Drosophila melanogaster: one gene and its partner. The gene in region 1 interacts genetically with each later gene. Each region holds a gene or a part of one and is shown on either strand. Other genes may lie near its edges.

Region 1 (8,661 bases):
ACATAGTAATTATTATTTATTTGATTATTCTAATGAATTTTAAAACTAAGACTTTCTAGGTCAAAACCAGGTTAGGGAGGTCATGAGGGTGGTGTCGCTTGAGTCTTCTTTTGACTCTAGTCCGAGGGTCAGCATTGTCCACAGCTGCAGTTCCTAGCTTCCTTGCTAGGCTGTTGGGGTGTACATTAAGCCTTTCCATATATTTTTGGGCGATGTTCTGGAGCTTGTCTCCTAATTTGGGCACCTTGAGGTCGCGTTCGATGTCTCTTGTTCTCATATACCAAGGAGCCCCCGAAATTCTTCTTAAGGTCTTCGCCTGTAAGATCCGGATCTTATTAAGGTGACTCTTCGCAGCAATGCCGTATACCTGCAGGCCGTAGAACAGGCAGGGGGCCAATATGGACTTGTAAATATTGACCTTGCAGCCAAGCGACAGTTTGTTGCGTGGTGCAATGAGCCAAGACATCCGAGCAACCTTGGTCCTGAACGCTTGCTGAATATTTGTGATGTGCCTGCTGAAGGTGAGCTTCCTATCGAGGGTAATACCAAGGTATTTATAAGCCTGATGGTGTCTGATCAGTCTCCCATTCAGACTGACACCCGGACAGCTACCTGTTCGGTTGGCGAACGTCACATTGGCACACTTCTCAGCGTTGATGCGCACATTCCAGTTCTCAGCCCATTGCTGGAATGCATCCAGGTATTCCTGTAGACCAGAAGTGGCAGCCAGGATACTTTTACTTTTCGTGAGCACAGCAGTATCGTCAGCGTAGGTGGCTATGAGCACATCTTCTTCGTCTACCTCTGTGACTGGTGTGTGAGTAGGCATGTCCGAAGCAAAAACTGAGTATAGGGTTGGGCCAAGAACGCTTCCTTGAGGAACTCCAGCTGCAATTGGCTTGATTGATGATTTGTACCCATCAACAGAGACGTGGAATGTGCGTTCTTCCAGGAAACTTTTAACAACCAAATATAGCTGCGGCGGGAACAGCCTCTTCGCTTTGTACAGGAGCCCAGGGTGCCAGACTCTGTCAAATGCCTGTTGAATATCAAGAAAGGCACCTACTGCATACTCCTTGTTTTCCATAGCTTCCAGAGCAAAGTTCACTACTCTATGTAGTTGCTCAGGAGTACCGTGCTGCAACCGGAAGCCAAACTGAAATTTGGGAATCGCTTTGGTAACATCCTTGCATGTGAGCAGCCTGTTTAGGATCAGCCTCTCCATAATTTTACCCAGAGATGGGAGTAAGCTGATGGGCCTGTACGAGTCAACGTCTGTCGGTGTTTTTCCAGTCTTATGGATCATAATTATGCTCGCCGATTTCCAAGCTTTCGGAAAGTAGCCAACATCAAGAACGCTGTTGAATATTAAGACAAGGAACTGCAATGCTTGATCTGGGAGAAGTCTAATGGTTCTATTATCAAGAAGATCTTCTCCAGGAGCTTTCTTAAGTGGCAGCTTGGCTATTAAATTCTTCACTTCTTCCAGTGTGACAGCACTCGGAGGCAGGCTCATTTGAAAGGGCGATTCCAAGTATCCATGTGTGTGCGTCTGTGGCTTTCGTTCTTAAAATGGGAGGTAAAATATTTGAAATTTATTGCCGTTGCCTTTGATTCAATGCACACATTTATTAATTTATCATTCCATGAGCCGGAGCTCAGGCTCTAAATAAATCAAAGGCTTGAGATGGAAAAGATTTAAATGAATTGGCCGAACAAATGGCCAATAAGTTTTGGCATATCGATTGAATGTCGGCCTACAGAATGCATGCAAATTAATGCAGTATTTTGTGCTGAGCAAAACCATTCGAACCGACTTGATTGCACAAACCACAGACCAACGAGCACACCCCAAAGTGCCATAATGTCAATGCCCGCCCTAGGGCGCCACAACTCGGTGACAATTGACATTGGCAGTGACAGTGACTGTGACAGTGGCGAACGGAGAAATTCAATGAAAATTAATAAGTTGAATTAACAGATTCACGCCGCGAGCAGCCATCGAAATCCAATCCGCCGCACACGCCAAGTGGGAATTTAATGGCTCAGTGCCCTCAATGCCAAATGAGTGAGTGACTGGTCATCCTGTCCGTCCTGACATCCATCATTAAGGTCCTGCCCATCTCAACTCGACTCGCTGAGCTGGCTCAGCTGGCTGAGCCTGGATGCCGTCTGCTAGCCAGCATTCAATTCGATTACCTGCAAGCGAACACTTTATTTCCGAAAGGCTAACTTCATTGACCGTACATATCCTGCTGTGTGACTCATAACATGATGACTAAACCCAGCCATTCACTTGAGGGGAATGTCAGAGAGCGAAATTGCATTGACCTCCTTTAAAAACCCTTCAAACGCAATTTTAGTTGAATTAAAAATGAACGTATAAAGTTACTTAAATAGGTGTCTAAACGTATGCAGTTTAAATAGAATGCTGAGTATTTCCATTCACATATTTGTGAACTTTCGACTCGAAAGTTAGAATTTTTTCCAATATTTTTCCCTTTTCGGGCTAGAAAGTTTTCACTGCGCTGACCGTTTTACACTTGCTTTTAGCCCTAATTTCCTGTATGACTCGATGGTTTCGCCCCCCTTTCTCAGCCAGAAAACTTCAATGGAGCGAGAATGGAATGTGTGGGAGCTGCACAAATTACAATTTGAGCCAGGGCTCCTTCTCGGGGAGAAGGGGAGCCACATAAACCAATCTCCGCCCCTGTTCTTTGCCAAGCGATTTCGCTGCAATCTACATCGCCAGTAGAATGCTGCTCCTCCTTCGGCCGCAAAACTGACAGCAATCAGCTTTGCTGTGGATAAAGTTTTATGCCGAGAAACTCATTTAGTTTGCAATTAATTAGTGGCAGCCGGCAGAGCAGAGTTGAATTTGTGTTTTTAATTTGACTAAATAGATGCACCACTACCGAACGTTGGAGAGCTTGCACAACACGGCGAATGGTGGTGGGGCGTGGTGAGTGGGGCGTGCAGGATGGGGGCGTGACGAAGTAGCATAGTTCTGACTGAGTTTTTCGCTAGGCGTGAAATGTAAATGCTTGACCCAATTGGCAGGGGGCGTCTAAAGGGAAACACAACGAAAAACAACCAACCGCCGACAACAAAATCATTTAAAATGTTTTCCAACCGGGGAAACGGCGAGCGCTAAAACTTTTTCTACGGCGCTTTTGGCGAAGACAACTTGAACACAATTTGATAACCTACATTTGGGGGTCTTGGTAACATTAAAAATTTACACATGACGGCGTGGCCGGGGCGTTGGGGGTTTTGGCCTTACTCGCAGTGCAAAAGTGGAACGGAGTGTTTTCTCAGCGTCCTTGAGCTCTTGTTTTTTATTTGGTATTAAGAGCATGTCAAGTGAGTCTGGCGAACACAGAGGCTGAGGCAGCATGGCTAAGTGAGTTTTCGTTGTTGCTCCTTGTCACAGGAAACGGATGTGTGTGTGTGTGTGTGTGTGTGTGTGCGTGGTTTGGCTTGAAGCGAGAGGGGAAATTGTGGCGGGGGAGGGGGCTGGAGTAGACCGTCCCCGGAGGTGGGTAGCAAAAGTCTTTAAGTCTTTCGGCTTAATAGCTTTCAGTTTGCGACTTTCCTGGTCACAGCCCGACCCGATTCTGGTTGCTTACCCCTTCTATTGTCCCAAATCCCCATCATCATTTCAACCCCCTTCCTGGGTGCCGTGAGTTATTGTCGTGCGATTTATTACGCGACGCACTGTTGGTAGCCTTTGCTGCCTTCGGAGGGGGCCCACATGGCGTATGCGTAACGTATGGTCGTGGTAAAAACTCACGTAATATGCAACATTTACCGCCCGCGGTTCTCCGCCGGTTCCTTTTGATTTATTCAGCCAGGTGGCATACTTTTGACCCATATGGCTTTGATTTCTTGAAAAACTCAAAACCACCAAACATACCACTACCAAGTTAAAGTTATTACTAAAAGTGCAGTCACAGCTCCTTTGATATATGTCAGAAGTAAGCCTATTTCGTTTACGAAATGGTTTCTGCATTTTCTCTCTGTGCAGGTAAATATGATTTTCGTGTCTGGCAGCAATTACTGATGTTGTCATTAGTAAGAACACCACTCGGAAATTAATAAAGATTTGCACAGGCGCAAATCGGTTTAAAAATGCGTGCAAACACTTTGATTATTCATTCACAAAACCCAAGCGGCCCGAAATTCCCAAATGAGATAGTGCGTAATTCGCGACTGACACAGATTTTTCCCTATTTGGCTGTTCGCTGGTTTTCCTTTATATTTGCGCACAGAAACAACAACAAACAGAGTGACACACAAGTTCCAAAAAATTTCCCTACTCCACGCACACTCGCACAAATATTGACCGAATTTTACTGGCGGTGGTTTTTCCCCCCCAAAAATTCGATTGTTCTCCGCAGTGTTTTTCTTGTTTTCGGCGATGCTGTGTCTGTCTGTTTGTTTTCGAAAAATTTACCTCGGATTCTGACTGAAAAAACAAGAAGGCCACATACCACGTGGCCAACAGTTGAAGTCAATGTTGGTTCTTTTATTTTCGTTTTTTTTTTATTTGGTTTTTCTGGCTTTCTAATTTGTTAGACACGCTTTGGTTGAAAGTTTTTTCGGCTATGCTCTTGTTGATTTTGATTGAAACACACACGCACACCAGCACACACTCTCCGCGAAGAGAGCAGGACAGAAAGAGAGAACGAGAGCGAGACCGAAGGATATGTGGGGAATAATTCAATTCTGGCGCTTGGAACGTCTCACTGGGCGAATCACTCGAATGGCACTGAGCTCGAGTCCTTGGCATTTGGCCCGAGTGCCGTTTTGGCGGCGTCCATGTGACGTCACGAAAGCTTAGGCACAGCGAGATGGGAAAAAGGATACAAGAGCGCCCATGCGCATTGGCGAAAGCTCGCAATCGCTGGAGAAATAGCCACCAGGGATCTCTCGAAAACCCGACCTAGCCTTGCCTTGGACAAGTGTTTGTTTACGTTTTCCATCCGAACGTCCCGCAAGAATCCTTTCGAATCCTTGTTGCTCCTCCGCTCCCAAAAACGAAGGTCAAGCTCTGGCTCTGAATCGCAACGACACCACCTCCGTTTTCAATTAATCAGCAATATAAATTGTACTTTGTTTGGACGCCACAATACATTTTCCCCGCAATTTAACTTGGACGAAACAATTTACAGACTGTGTGGTTGGGCCACACAGCCCGATTTTACTCTAATGAAATATCTCAAGACCAAAAATGTCAGTGGTTGCAACTGTTTGCGACAGGCGGGGAGTTACTATTTCAAAATATGAAAAGCCTCAAAACAATAAATGAGGATGAAGTGGGTAAATGTGGGGATGTTGCGCACTTTGAGGTTGCCAACGACAACTGCAGTCTGCATGCTTTCCTACTAATTGTAAAACAATCTGACTGTACACTATCATTTGCGGCAAAAATTGACAAAGGAATCGAAAGTATGTGAGTATTGCACTCAAAGCTGAACATGTATAATATGATCCCGACAGCAAATGCTCAAATTATTGTGAAAAGATTTAATGAACACGTGCAAAATATTTCAGCCAAAGAAATCGCATCGCCTCATCTATGAAAATTGATATTATTGTTCTCTCAATGTGATTGTAACGAAAATGGCATTTTCATTTAAAGTCTAAATGGTTTAATTGAGTTTGAAAGGGCTTAACAATTCTGACAGCTGTGATAAAAGTGGCTTTCTGATTCAGCTTTGCAGTTACATTTAACTGGAAACATTGATTCATAACTGAGTTTCATATTAAAGTGTTATTTTTTTGCCTCTTCTGCAATCCTTTCAATTACTACCTTTCGATTGGCTTGATAAACAAACCTATTTTCCCGCATCGCAACTATGCAATTCAAAGCGGAATCGATTGCCATATCAACGCGTAAGGGTGGAGTAATCCGAATGAGAGCCATTGCAGTGCATTATCCTGAGCTCACAGGACTTGAACCGGATAAATCCCTTTACCGCTCCGTGCCAGAGAGTGTAGTGTCATTCATAAGCACAAGTGGCAGACGTGACTAGCCGCAGCCACGTAGAGGGCTTTGCACCTGACTGAATCGGTCCGATATATCCTATATACATCCTCCTGCCATACCCCTCCCACCCTTCGAACCCTTCGCATCCGCAAACTCATGGACACGGCCACTGTTTGTCTTTATTTTGACTGACAATCATTGTGGTTGCCATCTGTCTGCCTGCGGAAATGTGAAGTGCAGCCATGAGATAACCGCCATCATCTGATGCTAATAAAATGTTATCAAATGAATGTCAAGCGGCTGCTGAGCCCATCCTGCTGCCTTTTTTGTGGCTCTCCTGGCAGACGCCGCCATCGGTGCCAGGATATGTGTATCTGATATCCCGAACAATGGCGGCAGAACAAACGCACACACGGAGGCGCATCGATTACGGTGCTAGTTCATTCAACTCGGCTCCTCCATCGGAAAAGGCCTAGGATATATGGCAAAACTCCGACTCCCTCGACAAAGTCAAGACAGAAGACTTCCCGCCGAGAAGAGGCGGCGGGAGCAGCACTATCTGCCACAGGTGACGCGTGAAAAATTCCACAAGCCATGGAAGCCGAAGGAAACGTCTCTGCCATGCAATTCTTCCCTTTTGTCGTAACTCAACTGCCATTGACAGCCAAGTGTCCCACTGACAGTCGCCGCCCCCAGCAACCCTCCATTTACCCGCTTTTCCATTTCCCCTTGCCCACTTTTCCAACCTGCCGCCTGCAGAGCTGCGGAAAATCAACTACGACGACCTCAACCTTAAGAATTGAGCCAGATGCAGTGAGAGAAGAATCTAAGATTGCATTAGGAGCAACTAAATTTCTACTGGCATCGTTATAATATGATATCAAGATCTAAGCGTGGGGGCTTTCAACATATCATAGCAAATTCCAGACATTTTGAATGCATCTACATGTTGGTGTAAAGATAATGTTCCATACTACAGGACACCCTTACTTTTTTGAGGTGTATTACAAGTCCCGGCCAGCGTTTTGTCAAGCCAACCAATTGTGGGGACGGCATAGCCATTGTCACTGCCTGACATCCACTCCATCCCCACCTAAAAGGGGGGAGGACATGAGACGGGAGTGCTGCGAAAGAAATGGAGTTGCGGTGCCGCGTAGAATGGGGATGTTTATCAATGCCTTGCGCTTATCGCCGACAGCCGCCGCAGTCAGACAAGTGGAAAACTATACACGCCCAGAAAGCAGGAAAAAAATGGGAGTAGAAAATACATAAAACAGCCGGATGCGTTGGCTTGACAACTTATTTCAACATCTTGTTGTAACTGTTCGTTGTGCGCTTCCTATTTTCATTTATCGCAATAAACTTTTCCGCAGATGGCACTGCAAAAAGTTAGCAGATGGAAAGTGGAGAAGTGGAGGCAGTGGGCTGCTGTGGGTGGGAGTCGTCGCCAAAGTTTTCCCAATACTTTTTGAAGCCTTTGTTGCTGCACGGCCATTGTGTGTGCATATGAGCAAATATCTCATTGCAAAATATTTGCGTGTACTTCTTATACAATTCTTGTTATTGAATTCGATCAGAGTTCAAGGATGGCCAGATGCGAATATGCCAAATTGAAAATGCATTGAATTTTAAGCCGATTGGGGTCCAAAGAAACCACTCAACCTAAATCAGCTTACAGATGCATTGATTACCTCAATTAAGATTCCAGCCCTGGCTGGACAGTAATGAATCGAATTAGTATGTAAATGTCCAGAGATAGAGAGTGGATGGTCAGGGCAGCAATTTCGCAATTTCGCTAGGATTGTGCTTTACACTATTTCCTTCTTTTATACCCGTTACTCGTTGAGTACAAGGGTATGATCGATTTGTTGAAAAGCATGACATAGCAAAAATCTGACTATTAAAACCAATTTAATGGAAATGATAAGGCATTTCATTTCTTCTTTTTTATCTTTATCCTCTCCATCTGATTAACGGGTATCCAATAGTCGCGACACTCGACCATAGCGCTCTATCTCTGCTCTCTCTCTCTCTCCGTTTCCGGATGTTGCTAAACGGTTTATCGCACTTGCCACTGCAATCGGATGAGAAGGAGTCTGGAGCGGAAACGGCGATATATTATTAATGTCTATTATAAGGCAGGCGAAGCCAATGCGGCGTATGCGCATTTTTTATATTTTTATTTCGTTTTATTCCTTCGTTTTTATTACGGTCCTGCCCCAAGGCAACGACACATTTCTGCCAAATGTTTCTCCATTTATCCTTTTGGCCCTCCCATCACGATTCCCTTTCCCCTATTTTGGCCCCCGCTTTTTGGGGCTTCCCCATGTTGTCCGGGTTTTATGGCAAGTTGCGAGTGCCGCGTCCTCAGCATCGCTTAATAAGTTTTTATTGCCCCAACTCATGCCAAGTGGGTGGCAGACGGACGTGTTCCAGCGGCGGTCGACCAGATAATCAGCGCCAGTTTCAATTTCAATTTCAGATGGCCACCTGGCCACGCCCACCAATTAACGCTGGCGAATTTGCCAAATACTCAAAGGACCCTCGGGTTTTGGTTCACATTGTCCTCGAATTGCGTGCAGCAGTTGCATGAAATTGCTTCCCGGTAAATCGCTTTCTGTATGCATTAATATAATTTGACATGGTACTTAAAATTCCTTACAATCTGA
Region 2 (7,136 bases), on another chromosome or scaffold:
TTCGTATACGCAATGTGTTGTCTAGTTTGAATTTCGAAACTGTATGAAAACAAGTCTTTGTAATAAGTGATGTAAATATGAAAAGTTTTATATTAATTTAAAAGCATATAAATTGGAAGATTATATAAATAATAATAAAACTATCTTTCTCTTACTTTTTTTTAGCCGAAATCAAGATCAGCATGCAAGAACTTACTAGGATCTGCGATCTTAACGGAAACGCAGACAAGGGAGAGTTGGGTCCGGCTACCAACAATCTGGACCAGCTCCTACCCAGCATAAAGCTGGAGCACGATCCCGACTTGGAGTGCTGGCTGCCCACGCCCGAGCACCCACAACTCCGTCTGGATCTGAACAGCACCCGTCTGCTGCTGCAGGGCTCCGACGACCCATTGATCTCGCATGGCGCCACCAACGATGCCCACGACGAAGACCATCCCTTCAAGACGCTACTGGCCCGCAAAAGTGCCGGCCACGAAACCCCACACAATGGCACCTGCAGTCCACTGACCAAGCAGCAGCTGAAGGCCAATCTGCTGATGGGCAGCCGGAAGGCGAACCGACAGCCAGCGCAGGAGCAGCCACACACTGCTCTACCACAAAAGACAGTTAGGCCAGTGCACAGCCAGGGTCAACAGCGATCACGTAAGCGAGGCGATGCGGGAGCCATGAAGCTTCGCTTTCACCACCAAGCTCTGCCCGCCGAGTATGCCGCCCATTACGAGGCCACGCAGGGTCGCCAGCAACCAAGACCAGTGCTACCACCGCCAGCTCCTCCGCCGAGTCAGGCTCACGAGAATGTACGCAGTTGGCTGCGGAAGATTGCCGAGATCCAGCGCAATGCCGAACGCCAGCAACAAAAGCAGTCTGCCGCTCCTCGAGTTGGAGCACCAACTTCGCGATCTTCACCCATCGCAGCGACGTCCGTGGTACCAACAAAAAATTCCGAGGTAACAACTGCCTCCAAGCGGAACTCCCTAAAATACGCAGACCTGCCGTACATGGGTGAGATTACGCTGGACAACTACAAGCCACGTCGTGGTCGGAAGCCCAAGAAGGCGGATATTTGTCACCTGATCTACAAGAACTACGGCACCATTGTCCCGGCATCTGTGCCCGCGATGCCGGTCAGTGCTGCTCCGCCGCCGTCTACCTCCACGATTGCGGTGCCACCTGAGGAGCCGCTGAATCTCTGCCTGCGTGACCAGAGCGGCGATCGCTACTCAATATCCAGCGGCGACAGTGAGAAGCCGCGAACTACACCAAATACGACCACAGCTACGACAGATTGCGGCAGCTCCTCGCATCGGACCACTCCACTTAGTACGGTAAAACCTCTGACCTTGGAGCTGGCAGGGACGGAGGAACAGCCTATGACAGCAGCCAAGTTGCTTCTCCAACCAGTTGGACTGTACTATCAGCAGCTCGTCGAGTCCTGCAGCCTGGGAGGTTTGCCTGTGCCCTTGGAGACCATCGAGAAGGACAACCAGCTATCTCTTAAGATTCCGATACCAAGCGGATTCTTTGCCAATGAGACCACGCCCCTGGCCATGCGGAAACGAAAGCGGTCAGCAATCTTTATCCCGCCCATGCCCGCCGAGCATTCGTCGAGTCCCTCGAACGAAGTGAGCATCTGCAAGTTTAAGTTCACCGGTGGTGCCAAGCCCACGCTGCAGGAGAAAAAGATGCTCTCGGTGGACGCGGAGGGCAATTACCGGTATTACAACGGCACAGGAGACAAGACCATGCGAGGCTACGAGTTCATCTCCCGGGATCAGCAGCAGCAGTTGCAGCAACACCAGCAGCCGGCACAGGAGAAGCTCTACGTGGATATTCCAGCTCCATCGACAGACCTCAGCCCAGAGTTGCTGCACATATCACCGGAGTCACCCACCTCAACGCTGCTCCTGCCCAGCAGCAACCATCTGGTGGCCGCCGTAGCGCCCCATAGTCCAGCCTCCCAGTGCTCCAGCTCCCAGAGTCCCATGCCCGGAGCAGTGTGTCCCGGTCACACGCAAAGTAAGTCCTCATCAGAGAGCGAACGTAAGCGAAGATCCTCCAAGCGATCAAAGCAGCGCGAAAAGCTGGAGAAAACCTTCAAAGAGAAAGGCTTTCTCATCCAAACCCAGCAGCTTCAATCCGCCGAAGGTGCTACCTATTGCAAATTTAGACAGCTAAAGAAGTTCACGCGCTACCTTTTCCGCAACTGGAAGGATCACATACCCGAGAGCGATCTGGCCAAGCACCAAAATGCCTCGCGGGAGGATAGGCTGCCAAATCTGGAAACCCAAACCGCCAACCAGACGACATAGAGCTGCGGCCAGGACATTCAGGAAACATCCACACACAGCACTGCCAAAGATTTAAGTTTAAGATCAGCTAATGGCCGGCCCAGCTTCGGTTGCGGTTGCCAGTTGAGGGTGGAGAACAGCAACCCATGCCGATTCCGTCCATGCGGGCTGTCCAACAACGCGATCAATGATCCTCAGCCACGCTTCCTAGTCGTTCATCAGTTTTTTTAGTGCCTAATAAAATGTTATTGTTAACAAATAAACTCAATGTTTAACCATATGCAAATGTATATTGTTTGGTTGTAAAAGGCATCGTAGTATGTATTTTACAAAATATCCGTCAATACAGTTATGTGTTAGTACAAAAGATAAACTCCAAAATGGGCGATAAGTCTATAGGGGTTATGCTCGCTCTCAAGGTCGTTTCAATGCCATTGCGAATACTTCTTGTTATCATCGTTATATGCTTATTTAGAAGATGTCATTACATCCCGTTTCCAGATTAGCCTAAATGTTAGTTACAGATAATATAAAAATTTCCAAAATGTTTGCTGGTATGCTTAGGTCGACGAAAGAATTTTGACTCGAATTCATTCGAAAGATGTTTGGAAGTTTGGGCGTGGCCTTGATAAGATAAATTCTCACTAATATTGTCAATTTTGTGGATTTGGTTGCATAATTGGTTCAGGTGGCAGTTCATTCAGTTTGGGGATCCTTGGCCAGGTTTTGGGCTTACAACTAAAAAACATATTTGCTTTCAATCGATTTGTGCTCCTTTCGACTTCGTCTTTAGTTCGAACTCATGGAGCTCTCATGCTCCTTAGCCGTATCAGCTAGATATGTCTCCGGCACACTGGCATTCATGGGACACACGTACTCCGTCCAGTCTACGTCACTCTGGCTCTTCGAGCTCTTGCGACGCTTTAACGAAAACTGTGTGCGTTTCACCGGCTTCAGCTTAGCTGTAATGCTTAGCGGTTGGTACCCGGGTGCCGATTCGGCATCTCGCTTACTCAAGATCACTGGCCGACCGACTAGCTCCTTAAAGTGCATGGCCAGGTGGCGACGCAGCAGGGACTTGCTCGGTGGTATCGACAGCAGGTCGGCAAGCAAGTCAGCATTGAAACGCGGTTCATAAAGCATCAGAGCCCCGTGGACACCAGCACCACGCAGATTGGGCGTGTATTCAGACAGGTCGATGGTCTGCAGCCATCCCATAATGCGATGCGCTGTCCACAGCTCCACATTGTCTCTGTCGGGAGTGGCTGCGGCTTCATCTTCACTGACAACTTTAATGGAGCGTCGAATTAGACCTTCCGCGTTCCACGATAAGCGGCGCATGCATAAGATTCCCGCTCGCAAGGAGGCTATGTGCAAACAAGAGCTGACGTGCAATTGGGAGAGGTCCTCGAGGGTGAGACGATGCAGCATTCGACCGTCAATCTTGGCCTGCATAAAGTAATCTTTATACTGTGGCAAGCCGATGTCATCCAGCCAGCGTAGAACCCATGTCACATCCAAGCTGGATGCCTTCAGTGTCAGGTCATCAAACTCCTTCCCAGTTAGGTCGTCGATGGCCAACAAGATTTTTTTCCGATGAAGTGGCATCTTTAGGTTTAGCTCTCGTTCGATGTCGACAGGCGAGGCGGTGAAGAACGACACTGATGGATTGGCATTCAACCACTTTCTGTAGGCGGAAATTGTATTTAGTAACTGGGTTCTTCTTGGATTTTGATGACAAAACTTACCGGCAATTGTCCTCATAGCAGCCTAGACCCATGTATGCCAACCAATTGCACACCTCCTGCGCTCCCCAGGTTGTCCAATGTTTTTCATTCTCACCGAACAACGGAGTCTGAGCACTCCACTCAATTCGACCGCCTGCCGTAGCTCGGGCTCCTCCTCGTCGAAACTCGGGCTCTGCCTGCTCCAAGGCGGTCAGCTCGCAGTTGCTGCTGTTGCTGCGTCGTAGCTTACCAAGTATGTTGCGCAAGCCACGGGCAGATCTTTCCCTCAGCTTTGGTGAGGGTGTAAACTGCGACATAAAGCTGGAAGTCATTGCATCCTCCGCTTGATGATGATTGTCATCAATCAAAATGTGTTCGTTCGAAGCAAAGGCCACGTTTCGCTGCTTGCCGCTGCTGTTGGCATTGACGTCTAAGGCACGATTGTTATTGTTGTTCACAAACTTGCCATGCGATCTTGGCAGGCTGTGGAACTGCGGTTTGATTTGGTGCCGCAGTGCAGAGGGCGGTGTCTTGGGCGATCCCATAAAGGCCTTCTGATTAATGTTGCTCAAACTGCCGTAAGGAATATTGGCGGAAATGGCGCTACCTCCATCGTTAGCCTGCTCTAATGCAGTACGGTGCAGTTTTAGTTCACTTAAGGCACTCATTAGCTCCAGCTTTTGCGTCTCGAGGGCGGAACTAGAAATCATCTGTCGTTGCAGTTGCTCTTCCTTGGTACACAACTGCTGGCTCTTTTCCGTTATCAGACCCTCCAGCTCGATAATCTTGTCCGCTTGTTCTGACACTCGTTCCGCCAGCATCTGATACTGCAGGGCTAAGCCCTCCTTATCCCGTTGCAGGCGACGCATACGCTCGTCGGAATCCTGACGAGGTATGTGCGTCTCCAGCCAGTCGCTGATAATGGCCGCCGTGACAGGATCCGGTGCTGGAGCAGCCAGTCCGACCTAAAGTGATAAGCGTAAGTGTAAGCCCTCCGTTTCTAGACCTTATCATAGTCAGTGTGACTCACCTGTTGCAGGGCGAGAGCCAAAGTCTTAGCTGTTGACAAAACATTAGTGGCCGAAATTAAGTTGCGTTCGCTGAGTGTCAGGGAAGACCCTGCTCCGGATATAGAAACGGATCCCGCCTGTGTCGCGGTACTCGATATAAGGCCGTCCATTTGCTGTAATGCTGCCTCGAGCATTTTGCTGCCCTCCGCCACAGTCGCCATGAAGTCCAAATCAAAGTCTCGCTAATCCCGGGTGATCGATGTGTGGTGTGCTTATTGCGCGACTAGTGCATTGTTATGTAAGCAGGTCAGGCAGGGCACGTCATTTTGCACTGGTTTAGGGGAAAATGGCATTTATGGTTATTAATTTCAGCACTAATTGGGGAAAACTATCACGAAAATAGAAGCTGCTGCACCGTTCTGCTTCTTCTTCTCGCACACCAGCCCAGCCACTTATCGATAGTCAGCGAACGCAGAATTGTGTGTAGGAGCAACATCCGATAGTTTGCTAGATGGTCTAAAGTCTACAAAACAAATTTTAAAACAAAATTAATTTTAAGTAACGTATAAAAATGCCTAAACACATTTTAATTACATTTTTTGGGGACAAAGTATGCAATATATCTAGATGTGTACAGCTATATTTGGTTTTCCATACCCGATATCTACTGTACAAAAAAGATACCATCACTAATAAGCAGGTGGAACGGTGGAGTCACGAAAGATGTGTCATCTCCAGCCAGAGCCACAACAAAACAAATATTAAGGATAAAATAACAAATATCTGAAATGAATCGCTTCGCTTATGTGGAGGCCCGTCTGAGTCCCAATGAATCCTTCGTCAGCCGCGACAACAGGGTAAAAATATACGATGGCGACCAAAAGGTGAGCAGCTAGTGAATTCGCACAATACGAAACCGGGTCTTTATTAGACTCAAATCCTTTCAGACGGACTTTGAAGACGGCGAAGTGGTGCTCACCACACACCGACTGTTTTGGGGTCGCCCTGGAGAGATTGCCCGGGCCGCCGTAACACTTTGCCTGCCACTCAGCTATGTGATATCCGTCAGCGAAGAGACTACTGCCTCTAACTTCTTTGGCCGCAAGACTCGCATAATCATGCATCTGCATCCTCCAACGTCGGACAAAGGACCCGGCCCACTGGACACCAGTCGCGCCACCCACATCAAACTGTCGGGCAAGAATGGCCTGAGTGTCGAGTTCCACAGTGCCTTGCGGGAGACTCTAAATGCCCGCGTCTGGGAAATCCTCTTGACCAGCGAGATCATCATCAATGGCGTGGCCAGCAGTCCAACCTTGGAGCCTGCCAACGACAGGCTGGCCCGCATTCAGAAGAGGACAGGAATTGGGGGCATCGAACGGCATTTGGAGGCAAAAGCCAAGGCCACGGATGAGAACATAGCACTTGCCTTTCAGGATCTCAGTGTTCTAATGGCCATGGCCAAGGACATGGTAGGAGTGTCCAAGACAATAAGCAGCAAGATACGCAAACAGAAGGGAGAAATATCTGACGATGAAACGGTGCGTTTCAAATCCTACCTCATGAGCCTGGGCATCGATGATCCCGTCACGCGGGACAACTTTACCAGCAATTCTGCCTACTTCAGTAGCCTGGCCCGACAGATTTGCGAAATGCTGCTGGATCCTATCGAGGTAGGAACTGTATTAAAAAGTTATACTTTGTATTGACACTTACTTTATTACCCCTTAGGAGCAAGGTGGCATGATGTCCTTGGCTGATGTCTACTGTCGTGTAAACCGCGCTCGTGGTCTGGAACTGCTATCGCCTGAGGACTTGCTGCACGCCTGCGAGCAGCTTAGTGGTCCAATACGCCTGCGCAGCTTTCCCAGTGGCGCTAGAGTGCTACAACTGGAGTCCCACGATGATGCCCTAATTGCCGTTGACACATTGGAGAAGGTGGAGGCTGCCGAGTCTCTGGCTGTGGAGGAACTGGCCAAGCAGCTGGGAATTTCACTCCTGCTGGCCAAGGAGCGATTGCTAGTGGCCGAACGTTTGGGCAAGGTGTGTCGCGACGAGTCCGTAGAGGGACTGCGGTTCTATCCAAATCTTCTGCTAGGCCGGGACTA

The links. Genes that interact genetically often act in the same process or in processes that back each other up.
Region 2: of Liprin-gamma (region 1) and Liprin-beta, changing one suppresses a phenotype caused by changing the other (phenotypic suppression), as found in Drosophila melanogaster (one study listed by BioGRID).

Annotation. Positions count from the first base shown.
Region 1 is NT_033778.4:22,349,932-22,358,592, forward strand, and holds the start of Liprin-gamma (Liprin-gamma), read right to left. Parts: upstream 4,778-8,661; 5' UTR 4,457-4,777; intron 1-4,456.
Region 2 is NT_037436.4:13,511,705-13,518,840, reverse strand, and holds Liprin-beta (Liprin-beta), read right to left. Parts: upstream 5,588-7,136; 5' UTR 5,444-5,587; exon of another isoform or gene 5,360-5,443; 5' UTR 5,250-5,359; coding exon 5,049-5,249; intron 4,984-5,048; coding exon 4,040-4,983; intron 3,979-4,039; coding exon 3,081-3,978; 3' UTR 2,565-3,080; downstream 1-2,564. Other genes in the region: CG10710 (uncharacterized protein), read left to right, coding at 183-2,312; Vps36 (vacuolar protein sorting 36), read left to right, coding at 5,817-5,912, 5,976-6,701, 6,760-7,136.